7 linked regions of the Mus musculus genome follow. The protein of the gene in region 5 interacts with the protein of the main gene of each other region in a pairwise test. Links are inferred from orthologs where the notes say so. Each region holds a gene or a part of one and is shown on either strand. Other genes may lie near its edges.

Region 1 (2,874 bases), on a different chromosome or scaffold from region 5:
ATGGGTTATAATATTGTCACTGCAGGGCTGTTCTTCTCCATCTGCCAGCATCCCCTAGTGTCAGCAGAGGTGACATTAGACTTGAGCCACACGTGATCTGATAGCTGGTCACCAGGGGCCTTCTCCTACCACATTTATACAAAAGCCCTTAGCAGCTCCGTGTGGTTTTGGTACTATTTCTGGTTTTGTTTGGTTTCATGTAAGATGGTGGCTCTAGTGTAGGCTGAGCTGCACTGCAGCTGTGAGTGCAGGATTGTCGGCATGCTCCATTGCAGCCTGCAGAAGGCCTTATTACTTACCACCTCTGCACTGGGATTACACTTCATGGTCAGCTTGTGAGGTGACAGCATCAGATAGTAGTAAATGCCGTGCGTCTCTTTGATTTGCCTGCGGCTGACTTTATACCTGAAACAGTTGTACATGTAGTTCATGTACACAGACATCAGTTATTATCCAGGTCCTAGGTTAGACATGAAGCATTGTCTTAAATGGTTTGGTGAAGGTATATAAAATTACAGATTTAACTTTGAGAGTCAGGACTATTGTAGGTTTTAGGATAAACAAAAGTACAATCTATTCTCTTTGGCAACCTAAGAATGACCTTTCCTTAATGAACATGTTTTTAAAACATCAAAGAACCTCGGCGTGTTGTTTAGTGAGCAGACAGGAGAATGCCCTAGTGGTTGCTGGCCTTGTGCTCTCATTGGATTGCGCTAACAGTGATGCTGGGCTCCCTTTCCGTCCCTGGCTCCCTAGGGCGAAGACCTGGTGAAATGGGAAGCACTGTTCGAAGAGGTTCCTGAGTTACTCACGGAGGCGGAGAAGAAGGAATGGGTGGACAAGCTGAGCGGCGTGTCTGTCAGCTCCGACGCCTTCTTTCCTTTCAGGGATAATGTGGACCGAGCTAAAAGGGTAAGCAAGAACTGGAGTGTGCTGGGGACGTAGAATTGTAGGGATGATTTCAGATAGCCCCTTAGAGTCTGGGGATGTGCACAGGCCACTCGAGCAGTCGATGCCTGGCCTCAGTTTCAGTTCCTAGCTTCACAAAACGAAATTGTGCTTCCTGTGTTTTAGCTTCCTAGAGTCGCATCGGAAAGCTATGTCGGTTTGATATAAGTGAGCTATTTTCCTTCCCTGTGTGATGTAGGCAAAATCCAAATTCTCTTGCTTTGTCTGGATATTTCATCGTTAGCTTATGCTTTTTTAAAGATTTATTTTTATATATTTTTATATTTTATATACATGCATGTACTTATGTATGTATTATGTGTACCTTCCTGGTGCTCATGGAGGCCAGAAGAGGGCGTCAGAGACCCTAGACTGGAGTTACAGATGGTTGTGAGTGCTATGTTATATGGGTGCTGAGAACCAATCTTGAATTCTTTGGGAAAGCAGCCAGTGCTCTAAACCATTGAGTCCTCTCTCCCACCGCTGCATTCTAGAGGGGAATTTTGGGTTTTTCTAGGTATGCATACTATAATGCCTTGAAAGTCACCATTGGTTTTGGGGGTTTTCTCCGCAGAGTGGTGTGGCCTACATTGTCGCTCCATCTGGATCTACTGCTGACAAGGTTGTGATTGAGGCGTGCGACGAGCTGGGGATTGTCTTGGCTCATACGGATCTCCGGCTCTTCCACCACTGACCTTAGCTGACATTGTTTCCTGGTCGTAGATAATCATGTGTGGGGTCTTGGAAGTACCTCTAGAAGAGTCATTTGTATCTTAATATCTGGGTGTGTGGTTTAGTAGGTGGGTCTTACTTATCTGAAAGGTAGAGCTTTCTAGCCTAAGACACCTTATGTGAGGCTTGTTTCTGCAAAACCTGAAAGCATCTCTCCCTCCTGGAGCCAGCTTTCAGGAAAAGTCCCTGTGAGACACCTAAGTGCAGGTAACCAGGAGAAGCCACGCTGCCTTATGATGACATGCCACCCCCACCCCACCCCACCACCACCACCCTGCCCAGCGCTCTCCCCAGGGCTCCTTTCTTCCTGCCTCTCGGAAGCTTAACTGTTTGCTTCCCATTATCCCCTGGGAACTGGGTCCTTAACTAGATCTAAATGCTGGGACTGCTCTTTCTTTCTCCAGAATTGCTTAAAACCTCTGTTGGCTACTTAGTATTCCTGTTTGGTATAAACTTATAAATGGACTGGCGTTCTGCATAGAGCTTTTCACCCAAAGTGAGCAGATATTAACTTGTGGGGGTCAGGGGGAAGTGGGGGTGGGGGTGGAGTGCCTCCCTGTACCAGGCAGGACATAACTGGATCTATGTCCCTGTGGTTATAGTCCTCACTGTTCACCCAGAGGATCCCTGTGGTCACTTAGCCTTAGGTTAGTTTTGCCTTCTTTCCAATCCTCTAAATAAATTTTAAAACTTTTTGGGTTTGTGGTTACTTTTGTTTTGTTTTGTTTTGTTTTGTTTTGTTTTGTTTTGTTTTGTTTGACATAAGGTTTCTCTGTAGCTCCTGCTGTCCTGGAACTTGTAACTGAGGCTGATCTGGAACTCACAGAGTTCCACCTGTCCCCTCGGCCTCATAGTGCTGGAGGTAAAGGTTAGCACACCACACCCAGCACAGAACATTTTATAATAAACAGTCATCTTTTGAGTTGTTTCTGTGCTGGCTGATCTTTCAACTCTTGGAGTGGCCCGCTGAAACAAAGTGGACTTACATAATCAGTAAACTGTGTGGCTTCACAGGGCAGAGATCCCTCAGCCTTGGTTTCTTGGATTGCTTGCTGCTATAGCAACATTCCCTGCCTCTTTGAGGACACAGACATCTGGCTCATGCTAACTGCCAGCCTTGTGAATGAGAAGCTCTAGCAATGGGACTTTCTGTTCCCGTCTCTGGCTTTCACCTCGTGAGGTACCTGAGTCTTA
Region 2 (3,500 bases), on a different chromosome or scaffold from region 5:
TCATTTTCAACCCAAAAAACTTACTCTCAGGTGTCGGTTTTCTTCTGAGAGCTTCATCATTTCTCCCTGGAGTCGCTTGCACTCTTCCATCAGTTTCCTTGTTTCCGTATCATTGAGTGAAACACTGTGTGGTTTTGGCAGGGGTCCGTCTTGTTTGGATGCATTCAGTGGAACAGCTTTGCTAGGTTCCATATCATTCTGTGTTTCAAAGATATTGGGAATCTTTAACAAAAAATTTATGGGTTTTAAACTAATACAAACCTAAGTTCTACATATTTCTCTTCTAAAAATGTCATGAAAATATGACAAGTTTCAACTAATTGTAAGATTTATTAAGTAGCAACTAAGATCACCTGCAGACAATGTTCACTGGAACATGTCAATAAAACACCAGCAGCTAATCAAAATAAGCAGCCGATGTCTTCTACTCCCACACCCTTGGAACTTACCTTAGCATAACACTTAAAAGATATCATAACTCATATTTACATTCTTTACTCCAGAATTTCAAATGGAAGGAAATTCACTACGTCTCTTTATTATTTACCCCTAGACACACACTTTGTCCACGAGCAGTCAGTGAGTGAAATGTGCTGAATGAGAAGCTCTGGGTCATTTCTAATGGTCTGACTGCATGCAGTCAAATGAGGTCTTAGGAATTGGAAAGTACAGGACAATCTATCTCATAATCACTCCAGTAAGGTTATAACTACCTAAGGATATACAGTCAAAAACAATCTAATGTCTATTAATGAAATAAAGTAACTAAAAGATGCAAACACTAGAAGGGAAACAATAAACAAGTAATACAATGGCCGCTATCTGTGGTCTTTAACACAGAGGATCATTTAAACTGTAGACTGTCCAATTAGTGTGATTCATTGTGGTATTCTATCTAGGTGGCAGGTTAAGACAACTTTCAAAACTGTAAGGTCTTACCAACACCACAAGCACTTGGACACCTGTGGCAACACCAACATTATTTTCTAAGCCTGTGATCTAAAGTGTTTCAGTATCCTTAAAATCCAACATTATGCTACCACATACAGTAACAGTATCAATATAAAGTCATCCTTTTCAGGTTAAGTCAATGTAACATTTGATAACAAGCAGGAGACCTTGGGTTTGCTGTTAACCACAAAATTTAAAAAGGCAAGCTTTAATCCAGGTAATAACCACTAATCAAGATATTTGACATCCCAAAGTAAATTTTAAGACATCCCAAATCTGGCAGCCAGTTGGGCTACAATGGTTAACACTGTCAACCAGACAGATCTAGAATCACCCAGGACTGTAAACAAACCTCTGGGCACATCTGTATTAAGAAAAGTGGGACAAGCCACAAGAAGGTGAACACCAGCACTCATCACTGCTTCCCGCCTGCAGGGGCAGCCTGCCAACCAGCTGCCCATGCTACCACTACCAGGTTGGACTGTACCCTCCACCTGTGAGCCATCATCAAGTTCTCCTGAAGCTGCCTGGGCAGGTACTTTATAAAAGCAACAAGGTATTCTAATACAGGCACTTAGCTAAGTATCTGACCTGCTAGCCCATTTAACCACTTGCAAGTTTCACAGCTGAGAAGGGTGCATACTTCAAAGTTACAGAGCTGCTTACTTCAATTTATTCGGAGTTTCTCCTGCTGACACACTTATTCTTTATCATACTCTTCCCCAATGTCCAACTAAATCTATCTCTAAAAGAAAAACCTTTACTTCATATTTTGCTAACAATATTTTCTGAGTTTTCTCTTGACAATAATTAAATTGACTTCAAACTGATTTCTCAAATCCTATCCTGCACAATTAAGAACATGTCACCTCTGTCTGTAAAGAGAGAAAACTTAACAGGCAAATAGAGTCCTCACACTTTGCCTAAGAATGAAGAAAGTACTAAGCAGAAAGTACTAATCTGTTTCCCCGCAGAAGGTCCTAGGCTCATCCTCCAGTACAGGAGCAAAAAAACTGAGAGAAAAATCAGTGTTAGCCCCATATTGACTCCAAAATTATACAAAGCTAATAATGTTAATGATTTTAAAATAAAGATAAATAAATTCTTAAAAAACATATGCTGGGTGTGCCAGGAGTATCTCTGTGAATTCAAGACCAGCCTGGTCTATATAGTACAACCAATACTATTCCAGTACAACCAGGACTACAAAGACCAAAAAAAAAAAAAAATGACCATTCTTGCTATATCATTAACCAAACAAATTCATATTATCGTCCTCGATATTTTCATATGCATTTTATACCATGTGTAAGGACCTTGGTTCAATCACCGAGGACTATAAAATAAAAAAGTCAGCATTCATGTAACTATACAGGTGTGCATTCTGCTTTATGTATCTTTCAACTATTTAAAGTGGCACAATATTTCATTAAATATTCCATTCTAGGACTATCAAAATCACTCAACATTTCATTTTTGTTAGAAGTCTGATGGGCAGCTACTATATGGAATTTGTATTTCATTTACAATACATAGCAGATGAAAAAACAAACTTAAAGATCTCTAATGTATAAACAAACAACCTGGCTTAGCTGAAGATCAAGAGAGAAGGCTGAGTCTTTTGTGGGTACACTAAACAGGTGACTATGTGAATACTTCTGATGGAACCTCCACTAGTGAGTTTGCCTGCAGGACGCCAGCTTGCTCTTTTTAAAGTTACTTCAGATTGATCCAGAAAGAACAAACTGCTTTTAGGACCACGGATCAACCAAATAAACAGATTCGATATGCCGTGACTCTTACCAACAAGAGTAACATCATGCTTTAACACCTCAAGTTACAATAAGCTACAGCAGTATGGTATACACTTTCCACTATCCTATACTCTTCTATCTGCAGTAGTCCCATAAGGATTTCACTTTCAGTAACTTTGTAGGGGCAAAGGAGTTAGGGACTAGACACCGAAAGGAAGAGTGAAACCTATGGCAGAGTAACTATTTTCAGTGAAGCTCTAAGACAGGAGCTAATGGGCATGCTTACCACTGCTGTGAGTAAAGGGTGTCAACACATTAAGGCAGTGTGCAGCTAAAGGCAAAAACTATGTCTATGCTGTCAGAATTAAAGTTTTAATCTTTGAATTGAAATACTCAAAGAGCAAGGCTCCATAGATTTTTTTACTTTCTACCCTAACAGCAAAACAATTTCTCTAGGCCCATGGTCATCAAAGTAAGTAATTTCAAATTATAAAGCCAAGCAAGAGTTAGACATTTAGACTTAAAAAAAAGATTTGTTTGCTTGTTTTTTGTTTTGTTTTCTTGGTTTTTTTGAGATAGGCTCTCACTATGTAACCCAGCTTGCCTGAAACTAGCTACACGGGACAAGCTAGCCCTGAACTCAGAGCTCTGCTTGCCTCCCTAAAGCTAGGTATTTTAAGGCCTTATTAGGGAGCTAGAGATGGCACAGTGGTGAAGAACGGGCTGTTCTTCTACAAGGCCGGTCATGAAGCTCCAAGAGGGGAAGTAAAGGGCACTCTCATCACCAGCAGGATT
Region 3 (3,500 bases), on a different chromosome or scaffold from region 5:
CCCAACTTCACGTGCTCTTGTAAATCCATGGAGGCCACATAGTCAGTTGTGCAAGGACACAGAGCCACCTGCTGGAGAACTCCTCAAGAAAACTGACCCCTCCATCCCCTAGAGGGAGTCCAGTCCTAAGCTATGGGGTGGGATGCTGTGAGCCTCGGCCCCACCCACTCTTCAGGTAGAAACCAGTTACATCCTCTGCTCTGCACCCTCTGTCTCTTGCTGAAGGCCACCCACCCTGCCTAGCATTCGAAACATTTACAGAAGGACACATGATGGGCGAGGGGTGGGCAGCAGGTGAGAATGAGAGTCTGTGTGGAGAATAAGGAAGGATGCAGTGTCCTCGCTCAGGTAACCCTTCCTGTCTCCACAGGACTCCCTTCCCCAGTTCTGTTAACATACACAATGTCTAACCACCCTAACTCTACAAAAAATAAGAATATTTCCATTGCCAATTCCTCCAAAAACGATGATGATGACGATGATGATGTAGCGTGTCAAGGGATTCTCGACAGGTTTGAATACCACAGGGAGAGATCAACACAAGCAGGAAGACTGGACATGGGGGAAGGAAGATGGGTCTTGGTGGGGTGAGAGGGATGGACCTGGGCCCAGTGTGGAGTGGGCATGCTTTTCCTGGGATGGAAGGAAGGGGTGACAGGTGAGGGGATCCAGAGTTGTCCAAATAAGGAGGGGGACCAAAACAGCAGCTTTCATTTCTCATCCAGCCTTCCCGGGTCCTTCTCTGATGCCTTCTGCTTTTAGAATAAACTCTAAATGCAGGTAAAGGCATCTGGAGTTCTCCAGGACTCCCAGGCTTCTCTCCCTCCATAGCTACCTGGTCTTCCCCTGTGCCCTGGGTTCCTAGACATCCTAACCCTGGCCCTTCAGCAAGATGTGCTGCCTATTTACCCAGCCCAGTCATCCTGGACAGCTCCTCGGTGGCCTTTCCTCATCCAGCTATGCGGAGGATGGTGCCCCTCCTCAGGCGTCCCTGCTCTTCTCTCCAGCATTGGTAACTGCTGTTTTCCTACCTCACGTCTATATGCTTCATCTGTTTGTTGCAGGAACACGCCACATAGCCCAAGTTCTCCTTAACTCATGATCTCGGTGGCTACACTCTTAAAACTGTCTGGGTCTGGAAAGATGGCGACAAGACTCAAATGAGTCTGCAGCTGAAGGGAGATGTCAATCAAGTTTGAAGGCAGTGAGCTATTCTCTACAACACCACAAGAGGGCGCCTGGACCTTCAGCGCCGAAGTCTGGCAGTCTGCATTGCTTGGAGCTGGCTTGGAGCTGGCTTGCACATCTGCAAAAGCAGCCGAGCTGAACGAGACCTGGAAGTTCCCACAGACACCCTGGACAAAACAATTTCTTGCAGGTTTCCAGGATAAAACTGCCAGTTTCTAGACAATGATTTTCTCGAGAAAGAATGAAACAGAATGACCACAAGCACACAACCGATACAGTGTGATATTAGCAATCAAATCTACACCCCAAAGTATGATGTCGTTGTGTTATATGAGAAGTGGCTGCAGAAATATGATATTCAGCCTGGCTCGCAGATGACTCAGTGAGACGAAGAACAGGACAGTGACAGCGGAGCCTGCACCTCCACCCAGTCTGTCTGCCAGGAGAAACGGATCCCGGTACTCTCTCAGGAACCCATATAATATAGTAATCGAGTGCAGTTTTCAACCCTCAGATAAGACTGTGTGGTTGCCGAGCCCACGCAGAAACCTTGGTTTTAAGTCGTGGTATCATGATGAGCAGCAGCTGGCACAGGACAGCCAGGAAGACTCACCCCGATCTCCTTTAAATCTTTGTCTTGCAGTAGCTGCAGTGGGTCAATAAAAGTTTGCTTCACATTAATATCCAGAGAGTCTTTCACCTCAGCCATGAGTTTCAGGGCCTCACCAACATCTACCAACGAGTTGCCTTGAACAGAAGAACACAATGATTCCTTCAGAATGACAGTCTAGGTTGGGGTGACACGGACTGTGGTACAGTGAGGCTTCACTCTGAGGCCTCTGCTTCCTGACTCAGAACGAATGGGAAAAGAAGAAAATCTACCCATTTCCTGCATGTGTACCTGTGGCCTGCCCTCTCCCCTGTCCTTAAGAGTGAGTTCGAGGCCAGCCTGGTCTACAAAGTGAGTTCCAGGATAGCCAGGGCTATACAGAGAAACCCTGTCTCGACAAACCAAGAAAGAAAGAAAGAAAGAAAGAGAGAGAGAGAGAGAGAGAGAGAGAGAGAGAGAGAGAGAGAGAGAGAGAGAGAGAGAGAGAGAGAGAAAGAAAGAAAGAAAGAAAGAAAGAAAGAAAGAAAGAAAGAAAGAGGGAAAGGGAAAAGGAAAGGGAAAGGGAAAGGGAAGGGGAAAGGGAAAGGAAAGGAAGAGAGAGGGAGGGAGGGAGGGAGGGAGGGAGGGAGGGAGGGAGGGAGGGAGGGAGGGAGGGAAAGAAAGAAAGAAAGAAAGAAAGAAAGAAAGAGGGAAAGGGAAAGGGAAAGGAAAGGAAGGGAGAGAGGGAGGGAGGGAGGGAGGGAAAGAAAGGAAGGAAGGAAGGAAGGAAGGAAGGAAGGAAGGAAGAAAGAAAGAAAGAAAGAAAGAAAGAAAGAAAGAAAGAAAGAAAGAAAGAAAGAAAGAAAGAAAGAGAGTTGGAGGGTCAAAGCACTTCCCACGTTGGCCATTAGATGGAGACAAAGTTCTTCTGTGGAAAATCAGGTCTGAAAACTGGCACCAAGGGCTCCTTACAAGATCAGAGATAAAACATCTTTGTAACAATGAAGGGATGGATTCGTTTGTGGGGATCTGTGTTAACCAATTCAGATTACAATGGAAAGAAGGCCTCCCTCAGCTTGCCGTGGGGGCGATAGGAAGCCATTCATTGCACGAGGTCCTAAAGTTCTGGAACCTCCCTGGGGTCTTGGGTATCAGGGATGCCCTGTGGACAGGTGGGGTGGTAAGGGATGGTTCTGGGATGTGGACATCTTTAGTGACTTATACCCTAGTATCTTGAGTGTAACTTGCAAGGCCTTTGCCACCCAGTGTCTGTTGCCATGCACAGTGAGGTTGTGGCACCTCTGAAAGACACACCTGGGGACACTGCATGAAATTCAACTATTTTATTTTATTTGAGATCTTCCAAATTGATTTTGTAAAAACATGGGGATGAGATGCACTCAGTTCCTCAGATTAGAAACCTGAGGGGCCCAGCCTGAGGCTGACTTTCGAGTAAGTCAATGGCATGAGCAGTTCACTCATGTCTAAAACAGGGAAAGCAATGACGGCCTCACCTCATTCTTAAAGGAAGTAAATTCACAGCTGTTTCCTTGCCAATTAGAAGTGGAAACCATCTCTGGAAGTTAGGGTTGGCCAGGAAGCCAGTCCAACCCTCGCAATGTCACTTCTCCTAGGAGGAGAGGTTTTCTAAACTGAGCTGGCTAGAATTTGATTCTGAGTTGTTCCTACATGGAGGAAGGATGTCTTTTCCTAGCTTAGGGAC
Region 4 (4,130 bases), on a different chromosome or scaffold from region 5:
CCACCTGCCTGTCTGTCTGTCTCCGCGTATGTACTCTACAGTTCTCCCTCCACTCAGACTAGCCCATCCATTCATGCCACCAGCTGGGGGCAAGAGTCCCAGCATCCCAGGCTCATCCAGCTTAGCTTTGGGTCTGTCTGGAAGTGGATTGGGCTCTGTCTGTGTGCAGTTCTGAGGGCTCTCCATGCTGCCTCATCTGGGCCCCTCTGCCTGTGTCCCCTTGCTGCCTGTGTCCCCTTGCTGGCTCTTATCTTACTGGCCTTGGCTCTGACCCCTTTCTCGCAGGTCTGTTGCATGAGTCTGGGCCCTCAGATGACCGGATTGTAGTACCTCAGCGAGGCCGTTCTACCCGAGTCCCCGTGTCCAGCGTGCTCATCTGAGGAGCCGGTGCTTACCCGGCCACTGATGCATCGCAGCTGGGCCTTGGGCCCACCCAAGACGGTTCCCAGGCAGAAGCCCTCACCAGGCCCAGGTCCAAGAAGGAAGCCCTGGGATATCTCCCAGCTCCCAGACACTACATGGGCAGCCCAGGGAAGAGATGGGAGTCCAGAAACGGGGAAGGGGTGTCCTCTCTACTAGGACAGCCCAAGGGGTTTGGTGCTATTTGTAATGGAATAAAATTTGTAATCAGACTCCTGACTGACTGCTTGTCTCTCTGTGGGTGCCACTGGCCTCAGGGAATATCCATAGTCCCAGGACTTAGCAGGGGCTGTCAGGTCACCCTGTGGGTAAGTCCCTGTCTTCTGAGCTTGGTAATCTAGAAGGAGGGCTGCTCTTTTCTGAGTGAGCTGGTTCAGTATGACTGTGACTCACCGTGGTCCCCTGGAAGTCGCTCTCCCAGTAGTTAAGCCTGGGAGCTGGGGGCCTGTGGTGCCCTCAGTGCCCTCGGTCCACACAGGCCTTGGCAGAGCCTCCTTGCAGTTCTCCCACCCGGGCATGGGGAGGGTACCGCGGGCCTGGTTGGCACGTGTCTCCTTTCCTAGTGGACGGGCTGCCTCATCCTGCAGCCTTAGACCCTTCCTCCACACAGTCCCTCTGCCTCCTCCCCCTTCCCACAACTGGGTGGGGGTGAGTGGGCAGGGGGCAGGCTCAGCCTGCTGAGCAGCCTGATGATTTCCTGCCCTCACCACAGCTTCCTGTCGCACGCGGTGGTGAGCAGGAGAGGCAGGCGGGGAGCAAGAAAGGGGCAGGTACAGCTGGGCACGGGGATCGTGCAGCTGGTAGCTGGGGCACGGGCCCCAGCTCTGGCTCTGGGGCGAGCACCTTTCCAGAGCCAACACTGCTCTCAACTCAGTCCAGCAAGAGAGGGGAGCCATCCAGCCCCGAAAGGATACGGCTGCCTACTGCCGGGCGGATCCCAGGCTGGAGCCCGCTTGGTCCCATACCCCTGCTGCCACTCTGTCTCGAGGGGCTGCAGTGCAGCAGGGCCTGTGGCAGGTGCTCTGCAGATGGAAGCAGACGCCTTGAGCCCGGTGGGGCTGGGCCTCCTGCTGCTGCCCTTCTTGGTCACGCTCCTGGCTGCCCTGTGCGTGCGCTGCCGTGAGTTGCCAGGTAAGTGGGAAGCTTTGCGGAACTGGATGATGGGTGGGCGCTCCATTGGATCCTCATACCCTCCCCAGCCCCTGCACTCTCCACTGTCCCTACCTGGGCCCTGATTGATGGTGGGGGGCCTGAGTTTCTTTGTCCCTGGTGCACCCCGATCCTGACTTGTTGGATTTCTTTCCTCCAGTCTCCTATGACAGCACTTCCACAGAGAGGTGAGTGGGAAGCCCGTGTCCCTGTGTGTCTTCCCTTGGTTCCACTCAAGGGTTTGGGGCTGGGGCCCTCTTGGCCCTGTACCCAAGCTGTCTCTTTCCTGCCAGTTTGTACCCAAGAAGCATCCTCATCAAGCCACCTCGTGAGTTCAGTGTCTCTGGCCCTCCTCGAGGGTTTTTAAGAGTGTGCGTTTGTCCTTGTTCACCTTTAGCTGTCTGAAGGGCTGTTCCCTGGCTTGGGATGGGGAAAGTGGGAGCCCCCATGTCTGTCTAGGGCATGTTATTTTGGGGTCCATTTGTCCTTCGAGGCCTTGATGGGGGGTGTCTGGAGCCATCCCTCAAGCTTCATTCTGTGTCCTCAGAAATAACCGTCCCCCGAACACCTGCTGTTTCCTACCCTCTAGTCACTTCCTTCCCACCCCTGAGGCAGCCAGACCTGCTCCCCATCCCGTGAGTATCCCCCAACTCCGTCCCTTGGGTCTACTGTGCCTCTCCACCTTCTAGGTTGGGGAGGCGCTTTTTCCTGGTTGTCTTGCTCCCAGAGTCCTACCTAGACGTAATCTCTGACCTTTGGCTTCCAGGAGATCCCCACAGCCCCTTGGGGGTTCCCATCGGATGCCATCTTCCCAGCAGAATTCAGATGATGGTAAGGGTGTAGGGCACAGGAGGGCTTTGGGGAGGATGTACAACCTGAGCTGATCCAGTCTTCTTCTCCCTCTCTCTTTGAAGCCAACAGTGTGGCAAGCTACGAGAACCAGGGTGGGTCTGGGGTCTGGGGTAGTGGGTGGGGTGGGGAGGCTGGACCTGTCCAGGTCGTGTTAACTCTCCTTTCTCACAGAGCCAGCCTGTAAGAATGTGGATGCAGATGAGGATGAAGACGACTATCCCAACGGCTACCTGTGAGTGGGTAGAGGGGAGGTGACCGTGGAAGTTGTGTGCCCTTTATCAACTTCTCGTTCCTTCCTTTCTTCCAGAGTGGTGCTGCCTGACAGTAGTCCTGCTGCCGTCCCTGTTGTCTCCTCTGCTCCTGTGCCTAGCAACCCTGACCTTGGAGACAGTGCCTTCTCTGGTGAGTCAGGCTTTCTGTCTACCTCCCTCTGCCATGTGCTGCCAGCTCTCCACTCTTGCCTCCCTCTCACCTCCGTGACGATTGCCGCCCTTCCATTTCCTCCTGTAGACGTTGGGCTTCCTGCTCCTCATCACTTCCGACTGTCTTGTTTTTCCTTCCACCTTTGCTCCTTCGTCTCTGTTGTCTAAGAAATTTCCTGACTCTTTTTGAACCCTGCCATTGAAATTTCATTTCTCGGCTGGGTGTGAGGGCCTACGATCCCAGCATCAGGAGGCAGTGGCAGGAGGGTTGAATTTGAGGCTAGCCTGGGCTACATAGTGATACCCTCTCTTCGAAAACCAAAACAGCACGACGATCAACAAAAAGAAAACAAAAGAATTTATTTCTCTTATCTGAAAGTCCCCCTCCCCTTTTTTGGCGTCTCGGTTCTTTTTGTATAGTACACTGTTGTTTCTTGGAAGCAATATCATCTAATGTATCTATAAGAACTTTGATTACATAGCCGGGTGGTGGTGGCGCACGCCTTTAATTCCAGCACTCGGGAGGCAGAGGCAGGCGGATTTCTGAGTTCAAGGCCAGCCTGGTCTACAGAGTGAGTTCCAGGACAGCCAGGACTACACAGAGAAACCCTGTCTCGAAAAAACAAAACAAAACAAATTTTGATTACAGATTGTTTCTCTCTGTGTCTCTATCCCTCTCTGGTTCTGCCCGTCTCTCTGTATCTCTGCCCGTCTCTCTGTATCTCTGCCCGTCTCTCTGTATCTCTGCCCGTCTCTCTGTATCTCTGCCCGTCTCTCTGTATCTCTGCCCGTCTCTCTGTATCTATCTCTGCCCGTCTCTCTGTATCTCTGCCCGTCTCTCTGTATCTCTGCCCGTCTCTCTGTATCTCTGCCTGTCTCTCTCACACACACTCACTGAAGATTTATTCTGCGTACCACATGGTCGTTGTTTCTCTTGGGCTGCTTTTCTCTGCTTTGGTCTTTCTCCTTCCTTGAGCTTTTCTCAAGTTCTGGTGATCTTCAGTTTTCTATCCTCTTATCTCTGTATAGCATGAGTATCCCTTACCTGAAACACTTCAATACAGATTTGGGAATATTTATAAACATATAATAAATTCTCTTGGGGATGAAACTCAAGATAAAACATGTAATTAATTTATTCATGTTTTATACAAACCATATATGTAATATATACACAGTCTGAAGATAGGTTTTTGTTTTGTCTTAGTTTTATTGGCATAGAGCGTCATTGTATAGTCCTGGCTGTCCTGGAACTTGATATCTAGACCAGGTAGACTCAAACTCAAA
Region 5 (4,283 bases):
CTCATTCAAAACCTAATTTTTTGTAACAATAAACAAATCAATCTCATTGGTATGCAAATTTGCCTTAATCTTTAGTAAGTGGTAAAGTCATATATATGCCAAAAATTATCTTAACATTGCATTAGGATCTACCATTAGTCGATGTCTGATTTGAACACCTATTTTATATAAAATCCCAAGATTACATAAAAAGCATCTATGAAAAGAGGTTGCCCGTGGGAAAAGTTTAAGAAACCCCGCTCTACTTCTCAGTGAAGGTCTCAGGTTGTGATGAGGGTCCCTGCACAGGCTGGGTGACGTGTTCCCATTCAAGACGCCACCTACAAAACTTGGGCAGCAGCCCTGACTTTGCAGGGTGCGGACGAAAAGTCCGGAATGCCTCCTTTCTGGCTGCATGGAAAAAGCTGGACTGAGCCTCACTGGTTAGCCATGACTTCTGCTAACAAGGACACCCACAGCAAAGGGGCCTAAATTAGGGGACCAAGTGATTTTGTGAAAAACTCAGAGACTTTGGATTGAATGGAAGCAGGGGACATTCCTCTGATAGCTAAGAAGTAGGGACATTGGTTGGTCTTTGCTGAAGGAATTTAGTTGTGGGTCCTGAAGTTCAGGGACACATTTCTACTGGTCAAATTCTAAGTGAACTTACTTGGCAATTTGCCTCCTGATGTGCGGCAGGGCTAGCTGAGGTCACTAGAGGATGCTAACTGCTCTAAAGATTTGTTCACTGCTGTTATGTCAAGTCTCTGCTTTTGTGGAGGAATTTGCCTCATGTGTACGTTGCTTTGCTTTTCAAGCACTCCAGACTGGCTCCAGGTGTAGAAAATGCCATGTTCTTCAACATGCATGCTTTCATCCAGCAAATATACTGAGGCCCTTCTAAGTGTCAGGAGTTGGCTGCCCTTCTTTCAGAAGACATGGAGGGTTCTTGATGGGATCTGAAGGACCCTTGGACTTCTTAGTGCCACTTCAGACTTGAGGCACCCGCCTCTGCCTGTGCTGTTGGAAACTGCTGCCAAGTCAGCCTGACCCTTCTGAGATCCTGGAGAAGTTATGGAGAATACGTGAACAGCGTCCCCACCTGTGTTATTCTCCAACCTGTGCTCTGTGGTTGGACAGTTTGTAACCGAGGTGGTCCAGAGTTGTTTGGTTAATTGAAAGAAAGGAAGGAAGAAGGTGGGAGACAGAGGGAAGGAAGGAGGGGACCCTGGCATAGATTGGCTGGACTTCCTAGGTCCTGAAATGCAGCGGAGCGGAGTCCCCTCAGAAATTAACTCCAAAGGCCACCCACTGACCCGCTGCACACAGCCAGAACTCGCCCCCAGAGCCTTGTCTAGTGGTGGCCAAGGCCATCCACCACCACCTTCCGGTCACTGCCTGCTTTCGATCCTCGCGGAGAGCGCTTCCTCTCTCCTGACATTCTCCTCCTCTTCGCTCCTCTGGATCCCTCCTCCTTCTTTAGTCCCTCCTCCTCCCGCCCAGCCTCCCCCAGTCCCGACCCGAGCTAACTAGACGTCTGGGCAGCCCCAGCGCAACGCGCAGCAGCCTCCCTCCTCTTCTTCCCGCACTGTGCGCTCCTCCTGGGCTAGGGCGTCTGGATCGAGTCCCGGAGGCTACCGCCTCCCAGACAGACGACAGGTCACCTGGACGCGAGCCTGTGTCCGGGTCTCGTCGTTGCCGGCGCAGTCACTGGGCACAACCGTGGGACTCCGTCTGTCTCGGATTAATCCCGGAGAGCCAGAGCCAACCTCTCCCGGTCAGAGATGCGACCCTCAGGGACCGCGAGAACCACACTGCTGGTGTTGCTGACCGCGCTCTGCGCCGCAGGTGGGGCGTTGGAGGAAAAGAAAGGTAAGGGCGTGTCCCACCGGCCCGCGCCCCCTGCGAGCTAGCTCGCCCAGTCCCAACCTCCGCTCGGGACTCTAAGTCCCCAGCCGCCCGCTCCTCCTCTTCTGGCTCCCAAAGGCGGCCGGGACCATAGGAGGAACTGGACGGAGTCTGGAATGGGCGAGACTGGGGCCGCCGAAGGAAGGGAGACTGGGCTAGGAGCAGAGGGGCTGCCAGGGCAGCGTGGGAGCCGCGGCTGTGCGCTCCGGGGCTCTTGACTGCTGCCAACTTAGTTGCCTCACTTTCCTGCGCTCAGTAGGCGTTCGGAGCAGAAACGTGGTGCGGGACAGCGCGGGACGCCGGGCATTGGCGCACGTGCGCCCAGTACTGTCAGGGAGAGCGGAGGGACCCCGGATCCTCAAGCGGGTCGGGTGTGTCCCACCCGCTCAGTGTGAGAGTTGAGGGACTGGAGTGCGAACCAACGCGCCCCTGGTCAAGGTCGGAACCTCTGAGACGCGCGGTTTCCTGAGCGCGGTTTCCCTCAACTCCTCTCTTCTCCAGCAGGGTACTCTCAGGACCTGGTAGCCTGAGTCCCAATGTAGCTTGCAGATTTCTGGCTTGCCCTTTCGCGGGTGTGTAGTTGCAGCAATGACCTGGAAGTGTGGAGATCTCTCTGTCACTAACCACCTAGGACTTCTGGGAAGAGATGGTGTTAGTGGTCATTTGCTTCTTCACTAGGAAAAAAAAAAGGAGGGCGTGGGGGTGGCGGGTGGGGTGGGTCGATTCCGCCTCTTAGGCATAGAGCATGCCAGAGACTTGCCAGGCTAGGTGCACTGGTTGGGGACCAAGGCTCCATGCCAGATTGGAGCTAGCGTTGCGGGGTGGCTACTTCCCCTGGGATCCCTGAATTTGCCCTTTCCCAGAAGCTTGGGCTGCTGCAGCATCACTTGCCTTTGCAATGGATGGCTGACCTCCTTGTGACAGCTGGGCCCTTGGGTGTAGTGCACCCTTGGTGTTTCAAAATGAGGCCGGTAGCAAACTTTCTTACTTGTTAGCTGAGACGTTCCCTCTTGGGTTTCTTTTTCTTTTCTTTCCTTCCACACCCCTCCCCCCCCCCAAGTGATTGATATTTGGCCAACTAAAATATAACCCCTAATTAAAAAGAAACATTGATGTCCATGGATCACACATGCCAACTGTCCAGACGGAACATGAACAAGTCTGGCTTCATGACTATCCGACCATAAACCCACTTGACACGAGAAACATGCCTCGGAAGGTTTAATTGCACAATTTCAAAATCCAGCCGCTCGGGTTCCAGGAGTCAGGTCTGCACTTGCTGTTGATGTCATCCGCATCCAAGTTGGACTTGGGGGTTGGTGCTCCGTGCACTTTTGTTGGAGGGGGTGTAAGGCTCAGTTTCCCAAACTTAACTACACAATGAAATCATTTGGGTTTAAAAATCAACAAGCAAAACAAACTACACCCCTCCTCCGTTGTTTAGCTACCACTCCATACACTCAGATTTCACGGGTCGATCTTGAGAATTAGAATTTTCAAAACTCTTGTAGCATTTGATTTGAGACTCGCTAGCATAAATGAAAAATTGATAACATCTAAAGGAAGACTACCACGACGGTTCTAACGAGCAGGAGTCTGGGAAATCTTGCAGTACAGGAAATAGCAGGGATAAAGTCGGTAAAGAGGGCTTGCTTTTTTCACAGATGGGATGGAGCACTGTGGAGCTTTTCTCCTACCTTCCTTAGCTGAAGGGCTCCAGGCCCCATCGGTCAGTTGCCTGGCATCTGTGCCTACCCATAGGACTCCCTCCCCTAGTTTTCAGTTTCCCTTAGAGCCCCTGTAGAACACCAGTTGTCTCAGCTTAACTCTGTGTTTCTTCGCTGTTAGGTGTTACTGTTATGAACACTGTTAGTGGTTGGAGATTTGTTTTCGGTTAAATAAAAATGCCACTTCATCTGTCTGTTTGTATGATATTCACTTAAAGCCAAATGCTTCTGGGTGTAGCAGGAAAGGTAGCAAGCAAATATTTATCTGTCAAAGTAACGTAAAAAGGCTAAGTTCTAAAGGACAGATTATTGAAAACGTGAGACACCCTTTCTGCAACAGGCTGATAAAAGATTTGTTTGTTTAATTGGTCAGTTTTGTTCCAGACTGGCTCCCTTAGTTGAGGTAGGGTGTTTATCCTTCCCTCCAAATCTATGGTACCATATGTAAATGTCATCAAAGCAGAAGACAGTTAGACTCTGTTTTCAGTGCATTGTCAGTCCTCACATTGCATGTAGTGAGAGGTGATTCTCATCATCTGTTTGGGGAACCTATGCACAGAGAAGTGTAGTGATTTTCCCCCATAGCTGTTAAGAAGTGATGCCAAAATTGATTCAAGTTCCTTCCACCTCCAAACTACACTACCTTATTGTAGGAGGACCAGGCTAGGT
Region 6 (4,024 bases), on a different chromosome or scaffold from region 5:
TGGGGGTAAGGTTGCTTGCTCTGCATCCAATCTCGCCTTGCCGAGGTCAAATGGGATCACAGGCACCCGAGGCAGGTGATTAACTTGTTTTAAAGTAGGGGGTTTCCCCTTACAACTGGAATATGGAGCCACATCTCCACCATGAAGCAAACCAATCTACGCTGTTTTCAGAATCACTCTGCGATGCAGCTATGGGATAGAGAAAGGGAAGTACTTAGCTTCAAAGCCATAGATAGAAGTGGGGGCCCCGAATCTTCCCCATGCTTAGAAGGGGGGCTGTTCTGGGGGCCAAGGAAAGAGAAACATATCTGTGCCATCCTTATCCATTCATATCCCAAGCACAATGCTGCCATTCAGGTCTGCATGGAGGCTGGTAGACTCTGTTATCAGATGCTGAGCAGAAATGGATCCCAGAGACATAAGGGCAGGGGGACAAAGTGTTGAAAAGGAGGAGAAAGAGAAAATATTCCTGAGCCCAAGTTGCAACCTCTGAGGATGGAGAGATAGCAAAAGAGTTCAAAAGATGTGTTTGAGGGAGAAGTGAGATTCTGAGATTAGAGTAGTTAGAGTTAGGACCTGGGTCTTGGCAGCCCTGGCTGTCTAGCCTATCCTTTTGGGCCTCGATAGGGTATTTAAATGATTATCAGTAGACAGCAGAAAAGTAGCTATTCAGTGTAGCCACATCAGGAAGACAACTAAATAATGAGGGTGTACGACGCCCCCATCCTAAGTTCAGCATCCTGTCACCACAGGTTTAGATTTAGATAATACAGAAAGAATCCATAAGTAGGCAGTTTTGGTCAAGGTGTGCTATCCCCCCGAGTCATTCAGCCATCATTGTCCAGGCCTCCAGTGTTTTCCTCATGGTGAACTGATAAAAACTCCCTGTGACTGGCACAGGGCTGTAATTTTTTAACGTTTCCTAGCTGGAGCATTCCAATAACCAAAGAGAGTGCGTCTCTTCAGAATATCCTCTTCCTTCCAGAATCCTTGCAGCAGCTCAACTCAGCCAAAAGGCGAGCTGGGAGGCAGCTTTCTCTTTAGGACACCTGGGGAATTCCCACACGGAGCCTCTGGACTTTCAGTTCTGTTTTGCCTGCCCTGTGGCTCCTGCCAGCTCTGATGCCAGGCTCCGTTCCCCTTGCAGACCCCTGTGGGCGGCGCTTGCCGCACCGGGGGCGGTGCTGGCGACCGGGAAGTTCGGGGCCCTGACCTGGGGACATCCCCTTCCCTCACTTCCAGGTCTTCAGTCTTCCTAGGCTGGTGCCCAGATGGCTAGTGGGCACGGGGAGCGGCGGCTGGAGGACTCCTAGGTAGGTGGATCGGTCCTGCTGCCGGGTTGCTGCACCCCTCCCCGGACAGGGTCGAATCGACCGGGGCGGCCGCTGTGCTGTGCGGGGACCTGGTTTCCAAAGTGAAGCACCTGCGCCCCCAGCCGGGCGGATCAGCTTTGGGGCCAGATGTTTGTTTCCTGCTGTGATCCCTGCAGGAAGAGGGACACCCAGGGAAGAGGGGGCCACCGGAGAGCTGCAGCCACTGTCCCAGAGCCCGCGGCTGTGTGATCTGCGTCTTTACAGCCTTTCTGGCCCTGGGGTCACAGAAGGGAGTGTCTGTAGTGTCTCTGAACCCTGGGAAGCTAGGGTGAACGGTGACGCTGTCCCAACTTACATCCAGTCCACCCCTCTCTTGTCCCCAGGCTCCGGGCAGGCGGTCACTGGCAGGAGATGTGTCCGCAATCATAGTTTCTGATGGTGAAGGTTGGACGGCAGTCTCTGCGACCTAGAAGTGGAAAAGATGTCGTTCAAGGAGGTGCGGACTGTTTCCTTCTGACCAGGATCTTGTTTCTGAGTGTAGGGGCTTCACTTCTCTGCTTTTCGTTCATCTCTGGAGCATCCGAATTGCATCACCGGTCAGAAAACAACTTACCGAAACCTCAGACAAAGCGTGAGTGGAGTCTTTTAATAAGTATCTTATGACTTCTTCAGTCCTATAAACGAGAACCTTGTGTTTACATCTTAGATGTCAGGAAAAGGCTTTTCTAGTTTCAAAAAGGAGAAATATTATTTCGGGTGTAAAACGCTCAGATTGCCTGGAGGCTTTTGATCTGACAGAAAGTTCTTCAGCAAAGAGCAAATGGTAGGTAAGGTGGCTGGACTCAGACGGAGAGACCCTTTTCCTCCCCAAAAGGGAAATATTATGAGTACTGGAAAATATCTTATTTCACTACACTCGAAGTTTTTTGTTGTTTTTTTGTTTTTTTGTTTGTTTTGTTTTTGTTTTGTTTTGTTTTGTTTTTCTGTTCTAAGCAAAGAACACTTGCACCTTAAACCTTTAATTAGTGAATACAAAAACTGCCAGGCATTGACAGTATGTTTTGGAAGTTTCTAAGCTACCAAGTTTTTGTTTGTTTGTTTGTTCTAAATTTATAAGTTAACATTTAACGGGATAAGTGCCCAATGAAAAATCACCCTCCCATTTAAAGAAGTGAAGCTTAAGGGAGAACACTTAACATAGGGAAACAATTCAGAACGTTCATAATGCAACGATTGGAAGCCTCCACATATTAATTATATTGAATAGAAGGTACTTCACTTAAATGATCAAGTTAGTAGCGTCAGGAAAGAATTAACATCTACAACCTACAATCATAGGCTGGCTTAGCTTTTTTGAGATGGTCTCAGGCCTTATGCTGAGACCGCAACTCATCGTGTGATTGTGGATGTCTTTGAACTACTGACTTCCTGCCTCCGCCTGCCTGAGTCTAGGTGTCCACAACTGTGCCCTGTTTATTCAGTCCTGGGGGTCAAACACAATGGCATACTAGCAAAGTGCTACAGACAAGCTGCATCCCAGGCCCATCGCCTGCTGTGTCTGAGATAGATTCCTTAGGGGCACTAAAGGGGAAAATGTACAACCAGCTATCAAGAGAAGCTGTGGGAGGGAGGTGGAGAGGTGGATCTGCAGTAAGGAGTACTTGCTGATCTCTCAGAGGACCTGGGCTCAGTTCCCAACACCCACATGGTTATAGGGGCTCTCATGTCTTCATTTGGTCCACATGTGCACATTCAGGCAAAACACTCACACACTCATACCTATACCATACAGTGGCACTTGCCACCAGGCCTGATGACCCGAGCTCAATCCCCAGAACCACATGGTGGAAAGAGAGAACTGGCTTCCTCAAATTGTCCTCTAACTTCCACATTTGGGTAGTAGCGCACGTATGCCATCCCCCAACCATTACAGAAGCATAAAACATATTTTGGGAAATTGTTGCGTTATTTCACTGAGCAAATATGACCACAGCACGTGTGGTTGCATGGAACAGCTACAGGGTATAGGGCCCAGAAGGTGCCCTGGGAGACGAGCCTTGGATTCTCCCAGGAAAGCATACTGGGGAAGTGAGGCAAACTACCTTATTTCCTTTTCATTCATCTAAGTAGCCAATCTGGGATTGGACACAGCTTTCCGAGAACTTAACTCAGCAGAATGAGAAGGTTCTGGGGGCCTGAATGTCTCCCTCAATTTGGCAGACTATTGACGCCTCTCTGCCTAGGGCTCTAGACATTCCTTTTGTCTGGTAGTAGTAGGAGCAAGGCAGAGTGAGTAGGCTGTTTCCGTGCCCAGTGAGAGATCACGGACCAAGGGAGCAATGAGTTGAGTAAGAGACATCCTTGGTGAGCGTTAAAGATAGGAGCCCGCCACTAGAGAGCCATAGGCCACATCTAGTTCATTTCTTTAACTACTGACTTGTTCATTCTCATTCATCTGTTTATGTTCAACCCACATTTATTGAGTCCTGTGTTGTTGTTGTTGTTTTTGCCTCTCAGATGATTGTTTTTACGTTTCTTCATCTGCTATTGCTACTGTATATAACAAAATTAATTTTTAATTTTCATTCATGTATTGTGTTTGCCTGTAACTTATTCCTTGCATGAGGGAGAGAGACAGAAAGACAGAGAGACAGAGAGAATGTGAATAAGCGTGATAATAATGATATGTCCTCAGATACACTCACTCACAT
Region 7 (4,216 bases), on a different chromosome or scaffold from region 5:
CATACTCAGCTAGCCAAGGAAGATGTGTACGATAAAGAGGGCAGGTGTTTGGTCCAGAGCATAGAAGAACATTACATGCTTCTATTTCCCATTCTATATTTTTGATACCTCTGAGAGAAACCCTTCTCTAAAGAAAGCTATTGGTACCTCTCTTTCTTTGTGCAAATCATCCGATGTCTTGTTTTTATTTACTTTCAGCCCCAAAGACTGAAAAGCAGTGATGTCTTTGTGTGTAAAATCTAGGTCACTGGATTAAGACCAGGCACCTGTGTGACTTTAAGACGAAAGCTGTTTTGGTCAGACACTGAAGCAAACCTCTCTCTTCCAGTCACAACTCCCCAGTGTGTACACAGCCAATTTGCGTTGCCTATCTGGGTATTTCAACCATGATTGCAAGATGTGAAGTACTTGCAGGAGTCTGAAGATTTCAGTCCGTGGCAGTGAATGTGAAAGATTCTTGGAAACTCAGAAGCCACAGCACGGATGGCTGCTCTCCCACCGTTTTCACAGCCTGTTAATATGCAAGGCAAACTACACATCTTTCTGCCTGCTGGATCTTCTCTCTCTCTCTCTCTCTCTCTCTCTCTCTCTCTCTCTCTCTCTCTCCCCCCTCCCTCCCTCCCTCCCTCCCTCTCTCTTTTTTGAATAATAAAGATTTAGCATTACATATCATACAAACTCAGGTGCAATTGGAATTGGTGTCTTAATGTGTCCATCCACCCCTGCTTTGGTCCTTTTAGTCTTTTGCAGGAGTCAAGGGTCTTCAGGAGAGAACGCCAAAGCTGGACTAGATTTTGTGCTCAGTAACATATTTAGGAATGTCTCAAGGTCATATTGATTACAGACATACTGGATTTAACTTCCATTGGCTTTGCTATGCTGCCGGACATATAGCTGTTTGCTATCCACATCCCTCCGTGTCTACCAATCAGGCAGGATATTTCATTAAATCACTGCCCAGAGACCACGATCTTAGTACCAGCTCTGCCTCACACTACCCAGAATATATTTCTAACCCAAGGAGAAACATGTATTGAGACCCAGACGTAGAGTAGGATGAAGACTCCTTGCTGGTTTCTTTCTTTCTGGGAGAACAGTTCCTTAGACATTGATCTTACAAGCCAATGAATATTTTTCAGCACGGTGGATTCTATATTTCCTTTCCTACAAATGCAAAACTTGACGCGTAGGTAGAAACGTTAAGCAAAACCTCATTTTCTATATGCCTACTTTGCGAATGGCTTCTCTCCGCTGGGTCCATTTGCATCCCTGATGCGTCAGTTGTTTCTTCCTCACCCTTTCTGAGGGCTGGAGAGGCAGCGCGCCGCAGCAGAGCGGAGCCTGCAGACCTGTCATCTGATTGGCTGCCGGGTGCGTGGCTGAGCTATAAAAGAGACCCCACCGGGCTTGAAAGCCAGAGGCTCAGAGGATTCTGACAGCTTCTTTGCAGAGCAGAAGCAACTGTGCTCAAAATAGAAACCACCGCGGCTCCCGCTGCCTTTCTCTCCTCGCTAAGAATCCCTCAGTTAAACAAGATGTGCAAAGGACTTGCAGGTCTGCCGGCTTCCTGCCTGAGGAGGTAAGATTGGTTTCTGTTACTGGTCAGGCTAAAGTTTTGCATAGACTTTTTCAGTGAGTTGCATGCTTTTGCTTAGGAAGTTCTCTGGGATCAGAAGCTATATGCTCCAGGAAGCCCTGGTAGCGTCTCCCTAGGACCAGCCAGATTGCTGTATTTTACATGACTTCAGTTTTGAGACTGGCTTTGACTTGTAAGCTGGGTCCTTTAGTTAAGCTGTTTGAATTACGAAGTGATAGGAGGTGTGGGGGATGCATCTGTACTCTTTCCATAACCATGTCCTGTTGGAGCATTTCTGAAATCATGATTAACTAGTTCTTGTGTGAGGGAAGAAACCTCAGAAGGAAGTTTGGAGACATTGTCAGAATGCTTTCTGTGGCATTCTTCAGTGTCCTCTGCCTTGGTTGTCAACAAGCGTAAGCATAAAAGATTTTTTTTTCCAAACTACATCTCTGTGGTTGAGAAATATATACAGTTTGTAACATAGCAGCTTAAAGTTTTAGAGGCACCTGTGTGCCTTTGCGTTCATTTTTTTTAAGGGTATGAATGAATGATTTCATGGAGTACTTATATATATAGTAGTTGGTTTAAAATAAAACACAAGGTTAGTGTGTATTACATGATTTCCTCTTGAACTTAGAGGTCAGAAGTGATCTGTGGCTCTACCAAACCTCCCTAACCATCCTTGGAGATATAAATCTCAACTTGGAAATAATTCCCCAAAGCACAATGTTTGTCTGCCCTCAAAGGGTTAATCAGCTCTCATCTTCAGTGCTAGGGTCTCCAGAGGGTCTTATCTGCTCAAGGTCACATGGTTGGTGGTGGTAGAGGAAGGACCATGTCCAGGTTACCTGTCTCCAGGGACTTCTAACGTAACTTTGGTTTTTATTTTTCGGCTTCTGTTGTGTTACAAGATATTTGCCAAACACGCTTCCAGCTCCTTGGAAATGCCCCTTCACTTAGTCAGTAGCTGCCGGGGCTCAGGCAGAGGCAGCACACGGAGACAGGAAGTCATATCTCTTTGGGCTGGATTACAATGCATCCATAGCATCACCTTAGGACTGTCCCAACTCTGGTGATTTTTATCTTGCTGTTACTGGGAAGGATTTTGTCACCAGTCACCAGCTTGGGAAAAAGAGAAAGGAAGATGGCCTTATGAGAGATGGAAAAATACTACCTTAAAGGGCAGCCCAAGAATAGCCTGAGATTCGGACGTTCTAAGAAAATCCACTGATAAGCAACCAGCTTGTCAACCTCCATCCTAAGGGGCTGCTGAGCACTGCCGTTCTTTGCCAACCCTTTCAGGCAAGAACGGCTCATCCTCTGTTGCTCTGGAAACACATTTAAACCATTCTTGGCTTTTATAATAAAAGAGATAATAGTAATATAGTTTTAGAAATCTATTAAGAAAGAATGACAGAGTTGAGCTGGAAGTTCAAGTAGTCAGAAACTCTGTGGTACCCTGGCTGTTGAGTGGTGGTTGGAAAGTGGAAACTGCTCTAATTAATTACTTGCCTCAGCCTTGACTCTGTCTTGCTTCTCCTATCCCAAAGTCTCAGATGCCCTTTTAAATGTGCATCTCCCTGTAATGTAGATTTGGGGTTGTTTGTTTGTTGTTTGCAGCTCTAGGTGGAGGTTGCCTAGAAACCAGCCTGGCAGGGCTGCACTTTCAGCCTGAGCACACTCCCTTGTACCATTCACTTTTCCTGCTCCTCTCTGCAGCACTACACACTTAAGCTGATGCTCTGCACACACACACACACACACACACACACACACACACACACACACACACACACACACACACACTGAGAACTCCTTGGCTACCATTTTCAGGGCTAACTGGACTCACTTTACAGAAGTGCTTCCCCTGCTCACCTTGGGAAGTAGCACCAGGCTGCCAGAAGATGTCCTACAGGCAGCATGGGTCCTGTTTTGCAGTTACTGCACACATTTCAAAGTAGCAGCCACTTCTTAACATGTTTTCACCAACGATATCAAAAGCCATATGCAGAAACAAAGGAATCGCTTCTGGGAGTTCAAGCCACTGCAAGTCCCCTAAGGACACTGCTTCTGACCCACACAGCAGTCTTAAGAGCCTTCATGTCTCTCTTTGAAGGAAATGTGTTTTTCATGTTAAGTGTTGTCTTCTTCCTTGCAGTGCAAAGGACATGAAACATCGGCTGGGGTTCCTGCTGCAGAAGTCAGATTCCTGCGAACACAGTTCTTCACACAGCAAGAAGGACAAAGTAGTAACTTGCCAGAGGTAAGAGAGGTGGCTTCAGCGAAGAGCCCTTGAGGGTTAACTATCTGATAATAGAGAAGTTGTGTGTTGTACGTAAAGAGTGAGTGTGAAGACAGGCCCTTAGCTGAGCCAGATTTGGGTCAAGATGGCCTCTACTTTCAAGGTGAGGGTACACAATTGTAGTCTCATCACTTGGAAGGTTAGGAGGGCCATGAGTTCAAGACTAGCCTGAGATTTATAAGAAGATATTATAACACACACACACACACACACACACACACACACACACACACACACACACACACACACACACAGGAGGATGGAGAGAGATAGACAGGCAGATAGACAAGAGAGTCTAGTTTATGTCAATCATAATTAGAATTTGAATCTACATA

The links.
Region 1: the proteins of Egfr (region 5) and Atic interact in a protein complementation assay, tested with the Homo sapiens proteins (2 studies listed by BioGRID and IntAct). The link is inferred for Mus musculus from reciprocal best matches to the Homo sapiens genes EGFR and ATIC.
Region 2: the proteins of Egfr (region 5) and Vapa interact in binary tests that used the Homo sapiens proteins (3 or more experiments, as listed by UniProt). The link is inferred for Mus musculus from reciprocal best matches to the Homo sapiens genes EGFR and VAPA.
Region 3: the proteins of Egfr (region 5) and Sh3gl3 interact in a protein complementation assay, tested with the Homo sapiens proteins (3 studies listed by BioGRID and IntAct, with this or other methods). The link is inferred for Mus musculus from reciprocal best matches to the Homo sapiens genes EGFR and SH3GL3.
Region 4: the proteins of Egfr (region 5) and Lat interact in binary tests that used the Homo sapiens proteins (3 or more experiments, as listed by UniProt). The link is inferred for Mus musculus from reciprocal best matches to the Homo sapiens genes EGFR and LAT.
Region 6: the proteins of Egfr (region 5) and Tlr2 interact in binary tests that used the Homo sapiens proteins (3 or more experiments, as listed by UniProt). The link is inferred for Mus musculus from reciprocal best matches to the Homo sapiens genes EGFR and TLR2.
Region 7: the proteins of Egfr (region 5) and Rgs4 interact in a protein complementation assay, tested with the Homo sapiens proteins (3 studies listed by BioGRID and IntAct, with this or other methods). The link is inferred for Mus musculus from reciprocal best matches to the Homo sapiens genes EGFR and RGS4.

Annotation. Positions count from the first base shown.
Region 1 is NC_000067.6:71,577,030-71,579,903, forward strand, and holds the end of Atic (bifunctional purine biosynthesis protein ATIC), read left to right. Parts: intron 1-756; coding exon 757-912; intron 913-1,522; coding exon 1,523-1,642; 3' UTR 1,643-2,374; downstream 2,375-2,874. UniProt on the Homo sapiens protein: Bifunctional enzyme that catalyzes the last two steps of purine biosynthesis.
Region 2 is NC_000083.6:65,582,556-65,586,055, forward strand, and holds part of Vapa (vesicle-associated membrane protein-associated protein A), read right to left. Parts: intron 199-3,500; coding exon 25-198; intron 1-24. UniProt on the Homo sapiens protein: Endoplasmic reticulum (ER)-anchored protein that mediates the formation of contact sites between the ER and endosomes via interaction with FFAT motif-containing proteins such as STARD3 or WDR44.
Region 3 is NC_000073.6:82,272,296-82,275,795, reverse strand, and holds part of Sh3gl3 (endophilin-A3), read right to left. Parts: intron 1,936-3,500; coding exon 1,802-1,935; intron 1-1,801. UniProt on the Homo sapiens protein: Implicated in endocytosis. May recruit other proteins to membranes with high curvature.
Region 4 is NC_000073.6:126,366,569-126,370,698, reverse strand, and holds the start of Lat (linker for activation of T-cells family member 1 precursor), read left to right. Parts: upstream 1-1,448; coding exon 1,449-1,551; intron 1,552-1,729; coding exon 1,730-1,757; intron 1,758-1,862; coding exon 1,863-1,897; intron 1,898-2,116; coding exon 2,117-2,204; intron 2,205-2,335; coding exon 2,336-2,400; intron 2,401-2,483; coding exon 2,484-2,513; intron 2,514-2,592; coding exon 2,593-2,653; exon of another isoform or gene 2,654-2,728; coding exon 2,729-2,823; intron 2,824-4,130. Other genes in the region: Spns1 (protein spinster homolog 1), read left to right, coding at 286-380. UniProt on the Homo sapiens protein: Required for TCR (T-cell antigen receptor)- and pre-TCR-mediated signaling, both in mature T-cells and during their development.
Region 5 is NC_000077.6:16,750,720-16,755,002, forward strand, and holds the start of Egfr (epidermal growth factor receptor isoform 1 precursor), read left to right. Parts: upstream 1-1,483; 5' UTR 1,484-1,763; coding exon 1,764-1,851; intron 1,852-4,283. UniProt on the Homo sapiens protein: Receptor tyrosine kinase binding ligands of the EGF family and activating several signaling cascades to convert extracellular cues into appropriate cellular responses.
Region 6 is NC_000069.6:83,838,809-83,842,832, reverse strand, and holds the start of Tlr2 (toll-like receptor 2 precursor), read left to right. Parts: upstream 1-1,224; 5' UTR 1,225-1,313; intron 1,314-1,409; exon of another isoform or gene 1,410-1,696; 5' UTR 1,697-1,794; coding exon of another isoform or gene 1,795-1,809; 5' UTR 1,810-1,944; intron 1,945-4,024. UniProt on the Homo sapiens protein: Cooperates with LY96 to mediate the innate immune response to bacterial lipoproteins and other microbial cell wall components. Cooperates with TLR1 or TLR6 to mediate the innate immune response to bacterial lipoproteins or lipopeptides.
Region 7 is NC_000067.6:169,744,843-169,749,058, reverse strand, and holds the start of Rgs4 (regulator of G-protein signaling 4), read left to right. Parts: upstream 1-1,416; 5' UTR 1,417-1,535; coding exon 1,536-1,579; intron 1,580-3,737; coding exon 3,738-3,842; intron 3,843-4,216. UniProt on the Homo sapiens protein: Inhibits signal transduction by increasing the GTPase activity of G protein alpha subunits thereby driving them into their inactive GDP-bound form. Activity on G(z)-alpha is inhibited by phosphorylation of the G-protein.